Drosophila melanogaster: one gene and its partner. The protein of the gene in region 1 interacts with the protein of each later gene in a pairwise test. Each region holds a gene or a part of one and is shown on either strand. Other genes may lie near its edges.

Region 1 (8,144 bases):
GCTTATGCGTAAACTCCGATGTGGAGTGGTTTTCCCCACATTCTCTAGAAATAAAATGCAGAAACCAGTATTTCTTGGTGTGACCGTAGCCTTGACATCTATGACATTGTGCATGCAAGAGAAACCCCTTGTCACTCGATGCTTGTAGACAATAAGGATTAAGGATAAGGATTCTAGATTTCAAAAAACTTTTTTAAATTAGGGAAATGCAGTTTTCAATACACAATTATAATCTTTCGCGTTCATTTTTGGTGTTAAAAACTGTAATTCTCAGGGGCCATAATAGGATACTGCGCCCCATACCATGACAACTCCAATTTTTCCTGCCAGGATAACAGCGTTCCTCTTCCCATATTTTTCGCAAAATTAAAGAAAACTTTTCAATTTAACAGCATAAAAAATGTTGTTGTCCTAGCATTCGGAATATAGCATTCGCAATATACTTGTCCAATTTTTCGTCGAAAGTAAAACAAAGCAGAATTAAAAAGATTACGGTTCTTCTCAGGACCTATTTTTTTTTCCTCAAAGAGAGAGGAAATATCAGTGAACAAAAAACAATAACATTGATAGATTTTCGTGCAATGGAAAATACAGACCATAAGATGAAATGGAGGCATACAGGGGGCGTTTATCTGATGACGCACAGTGTGTAGCAACCCGAATTTTACAAATTTTGTCCATGGGTTTTTGCGGCGAAAACTAATTTCACTTTTTCAAGTTGTTCGGCTCACTACACGTTCTTCTGCTGCTGGGCTTGCCACATTTATAAAAATGACAGCTGATTGTACGACCGCGTGACAGCTGGGCAGGGGAGCTCAACAAAGAATAAATTACACTGTCTTTTTTTTATTGAAATTGTTTAGGTTTCACTATGATTTCACTTATAGTGACTTGGGGGTCACTGTTTATTGTATGTGCCAGAATTCTGGACTTCTCTATGGGCTTTTGCGGTAAAAACTAATTTAACTTTTTCGCGTTGTTTTGCTTGGTGTCAGTAGTGTGACCAGACTTCGGAGCATGCATGAATAATTTTAATACAAATACGAAATAGGAACATTTTAGGGGCATTTTTTTTATATGAATGGAGATGAACCACCAAATTTCTAACACTCTATAAAAATTCAATTCGTTAACACGATAGAAAATAAAAAAATAAATTTAATATGACTTTAATACTGACTTCAGATTGCGAAATACAACTCACAAAACAATACCTGTGATCGATCCCAAAGCAACTTGAATTTGTTTCTTATTAACTATTGTAAGGTAGCTGGTCGTGCTAAAAGTAGGCACGTTAATTGGAAGTTCTAGAGAATGGGAATAATTGTAATTGAGCCCATCAATTCCTTCAATGAGCCCTTCAATCAACTCCACAAATCGCTTCCAAGCCTTGTTCAACGAATGACGCCCATATTCATGTCTCAAGGAAAACAATACGTAACAAACAGTCGGCCAGTGTTAACCAATCTGACCAATCTGTAACATCCCCCATTGAGTTTCAATGGAGGACATCATCGCATGCCTACAGAATACGCCATAGCGTTGTACGTGTATATACTCGACGCAATAAGTCGAACTCACTCCTTGTTAATATGAGGTTTATTGATCTCAAAAAAGGTAAATAACTAGTTTGTCAAGAAAATTCTTATTGTCTGCAAGTCCAGTATTTTTCTGCCCTATCGATCGACCGCCATTATTGCGGCGCCCCTTCCCTATTTTATGCACTGTTTTGATGCCAACAGCCGATTTGCTTTGTTTACATCGATAGCAGCTTTATGGTGGCATCCTTGCTCCTGATGCTGGGAACCATCGCTTTGCATCCCTGCCTTTTCCACGCTGTCAGTCGGCTTCAGTCCTCTTGAGTTCTTGCTCCTATTATCCAGGTGCATACCCTACTTGGGGCCGGCGCTGATTTTCCAGGCTCGAACTCTTTTTCCTGCGCGAGTGTACCTGCTCGAACTCCTTCTTCTGTTCGCGAGTTGAAGATTACGATCCCCGTTTCGTCTTTCCCCTTCCCCTATTAGAATTCGTCTCCGACATGAATTGGTCTCCTCCATGCTGGCTGCTTGATCAAAACAATGACGGTTGGGCGCCAAAAGTAACAAGCTGTTTAGTTCTACTCGCTACGAATTGCAGCGGCGAGCTCAGAGAGTTTTTGTGTTCGTCCCATCAAATTTTTGATTTGTGTGAGTACCTGACCAAGGAGAAGACAGAGTTTCAGATTAAGGGCGCTTTATTGTAGTATTTCACGGCTGACTGCTGATCGCCGTCTGCTGCGCGGCGTTGCTCCTGCGACGCCTTGCCTTCATCTTCCTGTGTGTCCCTGACAACGGAACACGTGCAGGATCGAAAGGGATTAGGATGTCATGGGCCAGGGTATATCGTCAACTGGTTAAGGCAACACTCGGCCAGGGACTACCCTTACCGACCACTGACTCCACTGTCCCTTCTGACCAGGTTCTTGTGTTATCGTGCTCCGCGGATCTCTGCATTGCACCGTTCTTCACCTGGAGTGATTGTCCTTGTATGTCCGCTCACTGGCTAATTCCCTTCTACGTCCTGCGCGTTCTCACAGACCGTTACCTTGTCGACGGGTGCGCGTTTTTCACTGACGGGTTGACTGTTCGCGGCGTTACTCTTACTTTCTCACTGTTCGTTCCCACTCGCGAATCTCTTGTCGCCTTGTTGGTATAGGTGGTCGCGGGGATCGCGTTATTTTTTTGTGCACGGTCCGCTCAGGTACAAGGCCACGTTAGTTCAAGGTGCGTCCTCTTTGTGCTCGTCCAAAGTCCGCATTGTTACCGTTCGACCTTGGGCCTTGGCCGTCCAGAGCTCGAGTCAAAGGTCCAGCGCAATACCGTTAGTTCACGGTCTCTCCACTTTGTCGGGGTCCAAGGTCCATTATTTTCCGTTCGACCTGGCCGCCTGACAACTCTCACATTCCAGCCGTCTTCGCTGTTGCTAAGCAGCTTTCCTAAGTTGTATTTTTTGAGAGTTTTAAGACTCCTCACAGTATTCAGCTCGCGACGTATGAAATCCGCATGTCGTGCCCTAAAATTTAGCAACAAGTTGTATATTTATATTTATTATATAAATATTCATTTTTAACTATGTATGTATGTTTGTATAGTTTTTATGAAATACATTTTTTAAAATGTATATATATTTTTTAAATTTATTTTTTAAATTACAAAAGTTTTATCCACAATTTTAGATAAAATTCATTTGATTTATTAGTTGAAATAATAAACATAATTTTAATTCTGTTATGTTGCTCACAGTCTCATGTTGAAGTATGTCTCCAGTACCATTTTACAAATATTAATTATAAACAATAAAATATATTTATGTGAACGGTTGATAATAATTTAAATAACATTAAGAATAAAAACAATAATGGTCAAGGCATTAATTTTTAAATCATTTTTAAATATGTAACTTCGCTTCTTAGATCAATATTAATTTCGGTTCGAAAATCGTCTTCTACGCTCTCAATTTCACGCGAGGCGGAGTAAGAGCAATTTTGGCCGTCACAAACCTCTTGATATTCGAATGTCTTTGCTTAGACATCGGTAGTCCCCGTGCCGCATGTAATTGGCAATTCTGTATGATCTTGATCAACACTAATCTACAAATCTCTTTAAATGACACAATGAAAATGCTAAGATATGCAAAACTTACGAAAAGCACATTCCCCGCAGGAATCTTCCTTTACTTTCTCAGTCGATTTATTATGTCTTGGCAATCGAGTAACTACAGTTCAATCCACTATACATTAACTGTTGCACAATTTATCGCTACAAAAACCATTACAAAATCAAATGGTTCGGCTAAACAGACGACGCTCTTACTGGCTCTCTCAAGCATTATTTATCATAAAATTTTGAATTGTGAAAAATTGATGCTTGTTTTGCTTTTATTAGTTTTAAGAAGTTTAACTTGTGTTAACTATGGGAAATCTTTATACAAAGTTATTCGATTTAAGCCCCGCCCACACTCTCATGAATAGAAGTAGTAACATTTTCCTTGTTTCGTAGCGTTTAAAGGGGTTTGTTTCCTATATATTCGATGATAGTAGTATCTTATCGTGCATAGGTAATTAAATACCTTCTTTCAAGGTATTTATTTTGAAAGCAACGAAAACATTATGAAGTACGACTTGTTTTTAACAACTGTAAGCTCTTCTTAATTTTTTTCTTCAATATCGATAATATTTAGCGTGTAAGTCGTAAGCTCTACTAACTATGACTATGCCATAGATGCAAGGCAATCGTTGTGCAATAGTTTTTATTTTAGTAAAACAGTGAAATTAAAAACAGTTCGATGACCCATGTAGTTGACTTAAGTTTCAACATAAAATAGACGCATGCGTTTTTTTGTGTTAGAAAAATTTTAAAATAAATTTAAATAAATAAATAGATTTGTAAACTTTTTTCTATTGTAGCTTATCTGTTCTTGCCCGATAGGGCATCCTTTCTTGCAGTGATATGGCTCTGTGTGAATCGGACATTAAGTCGAACAGTTGATAGTCATTAAATCTATCGGGCCTTGAAAATAAATAAAAACATTGTTGAAGCTCGTTGTCATCAATATCTTAAGGTGGTGCTAGTATTGATATATTTGTTAATGGATTTGTATGACGGCATTGATACGAGGGCTCGATCTAGCCAGATTGATGGATGGTCTTCGGGAATAAAAATGTTACAGACCCAGCTGGCAGTAAAAATGGCTGTCAAAAAACCAGTGAGTATACAATCTGCCGATATAGATCATACAATTATTAATACACCCTATGTAGCTTATGACGCCAGTGGTTAATCTAAGGTCCAAACGCCTTGCAGATCCAGAAGTTACATGTTTTGCTCCAATTACTACAGTTGTATCCAAACCATTAATAAGTGGTAAAGCCCTTCCATCCATACTGGAAAGGATAAACAGGGGGGACTGGGACGTTGCCGATGAATACGATCCTCAAAGGCCAAATGAATATGAAAAACTTAAAGAGAAAAGTAATGGCAGTGACAAAAATCGAGCAGGCGTAAGTGATCGAGAAGACCGAGATGACAAAGAAAAAGATCGTAAACGTGGACGCGTCGGTCGTCGAGAATTTTATAGAGACGAAGTCTCAGCCCCTAACCTGAAGCTCAGCGGGTTTGGCCACCGGCAAAACGATGATGACATGTACTTGCCATCTCCGGGCCTTGTAGCTAAACAGGGAGGTGCCACAATCGCTCCCCCTCCTTCCCTCCAAGAAATGTCCATTGATAGTGGTTGTGAAGCCACTAATACTATGCCATATTCTGCCAGCTCGGTGGCCGCCAAAATTATGGCAAAATATGGGTTTAAGGATGGTCAAGGTCTCGGAAAATCGGAGCAGGGCATGGCCATAGCTCTTCAAGTAGAGAAAACCTCCAAACGTGGTGGACGGATCATACACGAAAAAGACGTTTTTCTGCCACCCCTAGCATTGTCGCCACCTTCTATTGGCTCCCAAATAGGAACAAGTCCCAGCCACAAGGCCATGCCTCCTCCCCAGATGGTAGACACGGCGGCTGAGAGTGGTGACATCGGATACAGCATTACGGAGATTATGAAATCACCAAGCAAGGTTGTTCTTCTACGCAACATGGTAGGACCCGGGGACGTTGACGAAGAATTGGAACCCGAGGTAAAAGACGAATGCAACACCAAGTACGGGGAAGTGAACAGTGTAATCATTCACGAATCGTTCGGAACTGTGCCAGAAGATGCAGTTAAAATATTCGTAGAGTTTAGGCGGATCGAAAGTGCAATTAAAGGTTTTTATACATATGTGAATACTTTGTTTGGTAAATAGTTAGCTTTTATTTTTCTTTGCAGCTGTAGTGGACCTTAATGGACGTTTTTTTGGAGGACGTCAAGTGCGAGCGGGGTTTTACAACTATGATAAGTTTAAATGTTTCCAATTACATTAGAACTAATACAACTAAGATTGCATTTATTTTTTTCTAAGTTATTGATAGCCTAAAAAATGTTTACCGCACAGAACTAGTCTTGTAAATTTCTATTAAAAACTACTTTCTATCAAACAAAAACATTTTGACCATATTTATGTATATTTTTATTGTTGGGGTCGCTTACACAGTTTAGGTAACAAAGTGGAATACCCCTGGCTTTAGACCTTATGCTATGTTGGTTGGACCAAAGACACTAGAATAACAAGATGCGTAACGCCATACGATTTTTTTGAAAACGATTTTTTCGGAGCTGTTTTTTTACAGCAAACAGCTCATACAGTGACAGCCGGCAACTGTATGTGTGCACACGTATGCTCATGCATTGTTAATTTGACAAAAAATGCCCTTCACTTTACAAGTTTCTAGACTTTAAATATTTATTATTTTTTATCAATTGTCTCCATTTACAAAATTCCTGTTTTGCATAGCCTTAACGTTGTTATTATTTAGCTTAGAAATAGTAATAGCCGAATCAATGCACAGTGCCGCTCAACTGAATAGGTTGACTATTTTTAAATCCGAAACAAATTTGTATGTATGAATAGCTCAGTTATTAATAGCTGTTAAATAGCAAAGTTTCTGATCTCTTAAATTTGTTTTTATATCATTTTTTTTTTCAAAAACAACAAAAAATCTTCAATTTTTTGGCTTAACTGAATAGGTTTTACGCTTTTGACTTTACTTTTTGTTTGACCGCGTGATTGTAAAAAGTTAAATTCTTTTGTATTCTAAAATATAAATTATCTTTTTTAATCTTTTTCTCAAATGGTCCGCGGAAAACCTTTATCCGATTTTGAAAAAGGTCAAATCAAAGGCTATATTGAATCTGGTTTAAAACACTGTGTAATAGCCAAGAAAATCGGTCGAAGTCAAAACGTTGTGAGTAATTTTCTTCGTAATGAAGCCGACTATGGAATTGGATTATTTTAATTGTGTTTATTAGTGAAAAGTAAGTGGGTATGTGGGATACGATTAATAATTGGTTATAAGCAATAATGTCATCAGGTACCAGATGGCTGTGAAATTGAAAGTAGATTATTTTTCTTTTGTTTTGTAGTAGTGCGTAACTCTATTTCTATTAGTGATTTTGTAATGGTCAGGGTCAGTCTGTTCTAGATTTTAGGCTAGTTTAAATGGATTTTCTAATTTGCCTTTCTGTAGTGGGCTTTTTGTGTTGGGCAGTATCTCGTGTCGACTTCGTATACCATTCTGTCACTGTTGAGAAATATGTGTACAGGGTATCCAGTGGTCCAGTGGTATCGTGTTTGGTCTTGTGATTGTATATCTTAAGTATTGTTTTTATTTTGCTTAAAGTCTTAATCGCCCATACAGTTGCCAAGTTATTTCTCAATTGCGCTGTAATTGACCTCGTGTTCATTGTGAGAGTACTCTTGTGGAGAGTCTGTGGTTAAAATAAATTTCTTTGTAAAGTATTTTAATTTTTTAAATGCTGAGGCATATTGTGGGTTGGTAGTATCAATTTTGATCTTTTTTAAACACTTAGTCATGGGTTAGGCTTATGTCTGCAAAGTTTGGAATGAATTTACGGTTGGTTTAGTGGGAATTGTGTATTTCTGAATGGCTTTAATCTTTTAAGGGTCTGGTTTTATTCCGTCTGTATTTGGAACATGTCCCAAAAATGTGGTTGCATGCTTGAGAAACTCACACTTGTCAAGCTGTAATTTAAGGTTTAATTTAAGCCTTTCCTAGTTTTTCAAAAACTATTCTGAGCGGTTGTCAGTGTTTATTTAGGAGCGGTCGTAAAATGTCATTCATGCACCGTTGAAAGGTGGCTGGTGCGTTTTTTAATCCGAATTGCATGCGCAAGTATTCATAATGACCGTGGTTGGTGGAAAAGGCTGTCTTTGAAACTGATTCTGGGTCCATCTCGATCTGGTGAAAACCCTTTGCCAGGTCTATAGATGTGAAATAATTACACCTGCCTAGCTTTCCTAAAATTTTTGTTTGCCTGACGCATCTTGTTTCTTTGGAACCACCCAGATGGGACTATTGTAAGATGAGTTACTGGTACGTATAATACCCTGATTTAGCATATCGTGCATACCTCTTGTTCATAAGCCTGTGGGTAACTGTATAATTAAGAATAAATGGGTAGATTACGCTTTGTATTGATGGTATGTTTGGTTT
Region 2 (6,669 bases), on another chromosome or scaffold:
GCGTTATCCTGCGGTGGAATCGCGAATGGCTCCCTACCCTACCCCTCCCCCCACCACCCCATCCCTAGCATGCAACAACCACTTTTCCCTGCGGTCGGTGCAACGGTTCGGAATTGCCAGTCAACGCGCTGCAGGACATGCCTGAAATGAGATGAAAATATGGCTGCAGTTGGCTAGTTGGCCATAAGCATGTTACATGACGCCCTGCCAAAGGGGAAACTAAGGCCAAAAGCCGATGCGAGCTGCATAGGGTTGCCAAGCAACCAGAGTTCCCAGCTCATTTGCAAGGCTGCACACAATGTAGCTATAGAATTAATTGGAATTTAGGAATAGATGAGGTTTGGATAGATGAGTTGCCGTCACATTACCAAAACTCACATCCTAATTATATAGTGGCTAAAGATGATTTCAAAGAAGGCAGGAGGCTGAAATGAAAGTTATGTAGATCTATCAATAAATCTATTAACAATTCTTTCAATTAAAGCTTTGGGTATGTAAATAGACCTATTTCGCCTGTTGCCAGATTCTCCATTCCTCTATACGAGCCACTTTGCCTATGAATGTATCGATTGATTGCCATAACTTGTCCTGCAGTTGGCAACCCATTGGGAACGCCCCCCCACCAAAGTTCCGTCCATTCCCGGGAGTTAATTCCTGCAGCCAAGGCCCGGAAAAAATCGAATTACTCCATTTGCATGTGGAAGGTTCGGCGCGGAACATTCAGGGAGTATGGAAATTGTGTTGAAACTGAGTATGTACATGCATAAATAGTTTACTGGCATCGCGTTGGGGTTCACATTACCGAATCCTTGCTGTGCACCACGTGGCGTATGAGTAACGCAACGCCTTATTAAGCCGGACAACTTTTATGAGGGAGACCAAAAAGCTTATCGAGCACCAGGGCAGTGCATAAAAAATGCCGCTTACGCAGGCAAATTATTTTGCTTCTGTATCGTTTACTTTTATTCCGCTCCATTTTCGCTTTCATGGTTTTTTTTTTTCTTTTGCTGTTTGACACAAAAATGTAAATGAAATTCACTAAACGAATTTTCTTGTTAAACGTCACAAATGACCACGCCCCATGCCGAGACGTTCTGGAGTGCAGAGGGGGAGGGGGGGAGGGGCTGTGTTCGGCGGTTGTTCAGGCGGTCTGGGTTGACAAACCCAAATGCTTTTTCTGGCAGCGGCAACTGGCGCCACATTTTCAAATACACAGTGCAAAAAATTGGTACTTAAACCTAGCATAGTCGTAAATTGCCCAAAAACAATAGCATTAGTTCCTCATTACATAGTTTGTAGTACTAACTTTAAACATAAATACAGTTTTAATTGTTGCACAAGTTGCTCCTCAAACGAATTGCGATTGGCGACCAGTTGATAGGCAGCCACAGGCTTAAAATGCATACAAGTCCTTTGCTGCCCCGGCTCCTTGTTCTGCTGATGTTTTCGTTGTTATTGTGGAAGGACAACGCTCACTTGGCTGGCCTTTTGTTTTGCAAACAAAGCAAAGTGGGCGTCAGGAAGGGCGGCATGGCAATAGAAGGCCATGGCGGCAGCAAGCCATAAATCAATTGGCAGCGTAGAAAAATTGCAGAAAATTACTTGATATTTACGGTCACTGAGCACACAATAGACCCGGCCCCGCCCACTTTTCACTCTTCCGCCCACCAAACCCACAGAATCGCCCATCGCCCACAGAAAGCAACAAGTATTGGCCTGGCATCCGTGACACTCAGGGACAGCGACAGGACATTTGCCGGCTATAATTACACTTGTACCTTGCGTCGGGCCACATGTCGTATTAGTAATATGCGCCAAGGCCAAGGACGTTGCCCAATGGGGTTGTGGACCGTCTCCAATTTATTTAATAAGCTACTGACAACTTGACAACTGATTTATGACTGGCCGAATTCGAAATTGAATAGTGAACGTTTTTAAGGATTTAAGTTATATTACTAAGAAGTCAAAAATGATAGAATCTGAGTGTGCACTTTGACCTACATTTGCTTTAATATTTTTAGAAATTTTTCTTTCAAAAGTTTGTTTATTGAACGTACTTTATGATATAATTGGTCCGGACCATTTTATGACGTCTATAAACTTGGCCTACTCATAGGCACCTAAATCCTTTTACATTTTAGCAAACTAATATATGTGAAAACTTTCCCAATATTTCTGGCAAGGAACCCCTCTGGTACGCACCCATGTCCCTCTCGGTATGATGCACTGCTCTGTCGACGCTCTCCAGGAATAGCTTCCAGCTGGGGCACTAAAAGCAAATGAACTAGGGGGCCTGGTGGCTCTGCATGTAATTATTCTGTCATCCGAGGTGTGTCACCCGGATGGAGCACAGGAGGAGCACGAGGAGCAGTAGCCCGAGGAGTTACTTTGAAGGGGACTGGCCTGGAGGAATGGATGGAGGTATGGAGTGATGACAAAAGACAGGCGGCCAACTGGCCTTGCCCTCTGACCCGGAGCCTTGTTGTTTATGGCCACCCAGTGCTGTACATGCGGCGTAATTGCATTGTTGCCGTTGTAATTACAGGCAAACATGCAGTTAATTAAAATCATTAAAATGCCTTTGCCTTTTGCCATTGAGCCACTCAGAGGTGTAGGTGGTGTGTGTGAGTGTGAGGATGCCTAGAAGACAGCTGGGAGGAGCGACCTAATTTCCGGCGAAAGGGAAAGGATGTGCCTTTCCAACTGTCACAGCGTTGAGTGCAAATTATTTTGGATTTTTTTCCAGCGTGCCTGGCACAGACTTTTGTTTGAAACTCTGATGGCTGCCGCATGTCCTCGTCTGGCACGATTCCTTGGATTGATTTTGATTAATGCTCCGGCAGTCGCAAGTCGAGCAAATCATTTTCACGCTTGCCAAAACATTCCAAAGTGACAAGCTCGTGCAAAGTCAAGTGTATATATATTGCACACATACATATGTATGTACATAAGTGTGCGCATCAACGGACCAAAGCGTCAAGTGCAGACATAGCAACCGTGTGTCACCTTAAATTGTTAATTGTTTTCCCTCAAACTTTATTTCCACACGCTTCATCAGTCACGAAGTGAGGCCATCTCGAATGGCACCTCGTACGAGTCGTACACCACCAGATGAACCTTCTCCAACAGCGAAAGTCCCTTCAGTTGGACATTCCTTTCGCTCTGCAAGCACAGCAGACCCAGTTCCATGCGGCACTTGGAGCAGTGCAGATTCTGGAATCGCTCCCCATTTGTCTCCCTGATCCTGTCCTCTTGGATTAGGTTGAAGGTACGGCTCAGGAGCAAGTCGTAGGGCGTCTCATTCACTTTGGCTGACTTGTAGCTGACGATATTGCCACAATAACGACAGGCATAAGCAATTTTAAAGGCAGACATTTGAAATACGTACACATACTAGGTTCCTTGGGTGATAGAGAATGTGAACTGACTTACTGATATATATTAGTTGTTCCATTAAATAATTTCATAAATTCTAGACTAAAAAAGTAAGGAGCTATTATGTTATATTTATGGTGTTCTTTATGTGAAAAGCATACATTTCCTTTTATATCTAAGCCACTTTATAGATGATATAGCCAAATTTGACCACTTAGCAATGAAAGAACCTTGTGGGTATGTATGCGAAAACAGTTTCCAAAACGACATGAATTCACAAGCTGAAACTGAACTATTGATGGCCACTATTTGAGCCAAGTCGACCCATCATTAAGGACGAACAATCGAAGAGCGCATTAAGCATATTTGATGCTCGGCGGCAAAGTTGATTACAAACACAATGTGGTGTATTCATGGCTGGTCACGGCAGCATGTCCTGCAACCTGCATCCCCCCCCCCTTCCCTTCCTAGATAATTAATGAGTTTAGGCCGAGTCCTGGGATGGGGTTGTGTGCCCGGAGAGAAGTGTTGCCATCATCGTTTCATTTGTTTATGCGTCTGTTTGCAGCTGTTATTTTATTCAGGCTCTCTCGCCTTGAAGATAATTTGCGCACGTGCTTCAGATTTGGTAGGTGTGTGTGTGTGAGAGTGTCCTTGTTTCGCCGGAAACCGGAATGCGGTGGTGTGGGTGCACAGAAGGCACACGCACCTACTTTATGCTCGGATAATTGCGAGCATTTGTCTTGGGCGTACAGCCAAATCCGTATCCAAAAGCAAATTACGGATTCTCATTTCTAACTGGAGCCACAGCAACGGGGCCAATTAAAAATGTATGCTCCCTGAGTGCCAAAATGTGTTATGCGAATTCAATCAATAAATTTCAGCTGCTTTCATTTGATTTGATGGGTTTCCTTTTAGAATGCTTTTAATTACAGCAGTTCAAATTAATGGAGTATACAATATACAATAACATACAAAAGCAATAATACAAATTGATCTTCAGTCGGAATTATTAAATTAATTTAATATTAAACTAACCCATTTAATTAACACAGCTAGAAAATAAGTAATGTTTTAAATCAAAACTTTATGGCTGGAGAAGCAAGCAATTTCCGAAAATCTGATCGACTTAAATGGTTTTATTTTCGAGCGAATTTCAATTGGTGAAATACCGATCTGAAATTTTGTATCTCAACTACTGGGTTAAATTTGCAGTCACCCGAGAGCCAAAAGATTAAGCCAACTTTTTTATAAGTGGTCCAACTAGAACAACAAATTAATGAAAACTAAGTTGAACATTCTCAAGTTTTTCCCAACTTTTTCGCTCTCTTTCCCTCACCGCCCTCTCTCTCTCTCTCTTTCTGTTGCTTTTCGTCTTGTTTTCGGTCTTGTTGGAATAGACAGCTTTGGAAGACGACCATTTCCACCATTTTCCGACCTCCGACCGAAATTGATGAAAACGAAATTGATGTTGACTCCTGGGCGAAAGGGGATGGTGGATGGGGTAAAGAGGGGGTGTCTACGTCGATGCGGTCGGAGCTGCCTTTTTGGCCAAAAAACGTGGACTGGCAAAGGGAATGGGGAAAGCTTTTAGCAGATACTTTACGCAAATCCCATGGGAAAACATTGGCCCACTTTCTGCCACAGCGGCCCCATCATTAAAAGTTAAAAAGGATTTTCAACGGATTTACGAATTTCAAGCTGAGCCCGAAAGACAAACAAAGCCATCAATTTACATATGCGAGCAGGTCAGAGCTAAAAATTCGGAAATTCTCAAATTCTCAGCTCCCAGACGTCGCTCCCTCGGCAAGAAATGGAAATACTAAAATTCAAGAAACACAATTTAAGATGCAGCCAGCGTTTTGGTGGGCGACGAGAAAATGGGTGGTGCCTTCGTTCCACCAAAAAAAAAAAAACAAAGCCGAGCCAAGACTGTCAAGTAGTCGTCGTCCCGCATCCACTTACGCCAGTCCCAGTACCAGTCCCTCGTCCACATTCTCACCATCGTCCTCGGCCATTTCCACTCGTAGTCATCGTCGTCATCGCAAGGACCTTGAGTTGTGCCTTCCATGGCTTTTGCCTTTGTTGTGCTAAACTTGTGGATTAGCTAAATGCAGGCCGGGCATGCCACGGCATGCAGGCGGCTTCATTCCGGTAAGTCAACCCGGACAACAGAACCCCCCTCCCAGCCATCTTAGAACCCAGCCACCCATCCACGTCGCCATCTCCTCCAAGAGGACGCCCACTTAAACCTAAACATTTCGCCTTCTTGGGTTTTTATGAGCTGCTCATGTTGGCGTTTTGCTTTCCTCGCATTCTTACTCGGTCTTTCATTTACTTACACCTGATGTTTGGCTTATTCTTATGTGCTCCTTGGAGGAGAACCTCCCTCCCTCCCTAGCCACTTCTGAGCACCCTTATAGATCTTAATGACAGAAATTGTGCGTTATCATTATGTGAAAAATTTGGATGTCAGTAAATTAAAGAATTGCAAGGATTGACTGTTGATTTCAGGCTGTTTACGTTTCAAAAATACGTTTTTATATACATTCGCATTTTAGAAAAATGTATTTTTTTCAAATAATTGTCAAATAATTGTATTTTTAAATAAAATCTTATTTATTAAATGAAACATTTTTTTGTTTATATGGCCACACTATACATCGATTGCCAGCAACGGTAAAGATGTTGATTTACATTCAAAACGATTTAATGAACGGTAACATCTTTTTTTTTGCAGCTGCGAAAAATCAGCTGGTGACGAACCCGCCCTTAAGGACTCGACTTGAATCAGGACTCGAATCAGTTGAGCATCAGGTAGCAGTCACTGTCCTTTCGAATCTCCTTAATATACATACAGAATTGAAGAAAAAAAAAATCGGAGCTATGCAATTTTTCTTGGCTCTGACATTGATTTTAGCCTACAGTTTGGATACCGCAAACGGAAGCTGCGAAGGATCGTTAGATTTGGAAAATGGACGATTCTTCACACGATCGAACAATTTAGTGATTTTCCAATGCAATCGCGGATTTGTGTTGCAGGGAAATTCAATACACACCTGCGATCGGGATGGTCGACTTCGCGAGAAGAAACCATTTTGTGCCAGTGAGTGTTGACAGTTTTCGAAAATGTACACCCTTTCAAATCGAACTAAGAATATGAAACAAGAACATTTCATATCATCATACTAGTTATCAACAAAATTTTGATTTTTTTCATTTTAATTTTAAGGGAAAGGATGCGATAAGCCTGAGGATCCCACAAACGGATATGTTTTAGATAATCCTGTAAAG

What was found.
Region 2: the proteins of Spf45 (region 1) and CG13171 interact in a two-hybrid assay, tested with the Drosophila melanogaster proteins (one large-scale study listed by BioGRID).

What each region holds. Positions count from the first base shown.
Region 1 is NT_033779.5:23,064,799-23,072,942, reverse strand, and holds Spf45 (Spf45), read left to right. Parts: upstream 1-4,556; 5' UTR 4,557-4,626; coding exon 4,627-4,743; intron 4,744-4,751; exon of another isoform or gene 4,752-4,798; coding exon 4,799-5,798; intron 5,799-5,859; coding exon 5,860-5,954; 3' UTR 5,955-6,069; downstream 6,070-8,144.
Region 2 is NT_033778.4:12,210,736-12,217,404, reverse strand, and holds CG13171 (uncharacterized protein), read right to left. Parts: upstream 3,396-6,669; 5' UTR 3,376-3,395; coding exon 3,055-3,375; 3' UTR 3,010-3,054; downstream 1-3,009. Other genes in the region: Sr-CII (scavenger receptor class C, type II), read left to right, coding at 6,262-6,481, 6,608-6,669.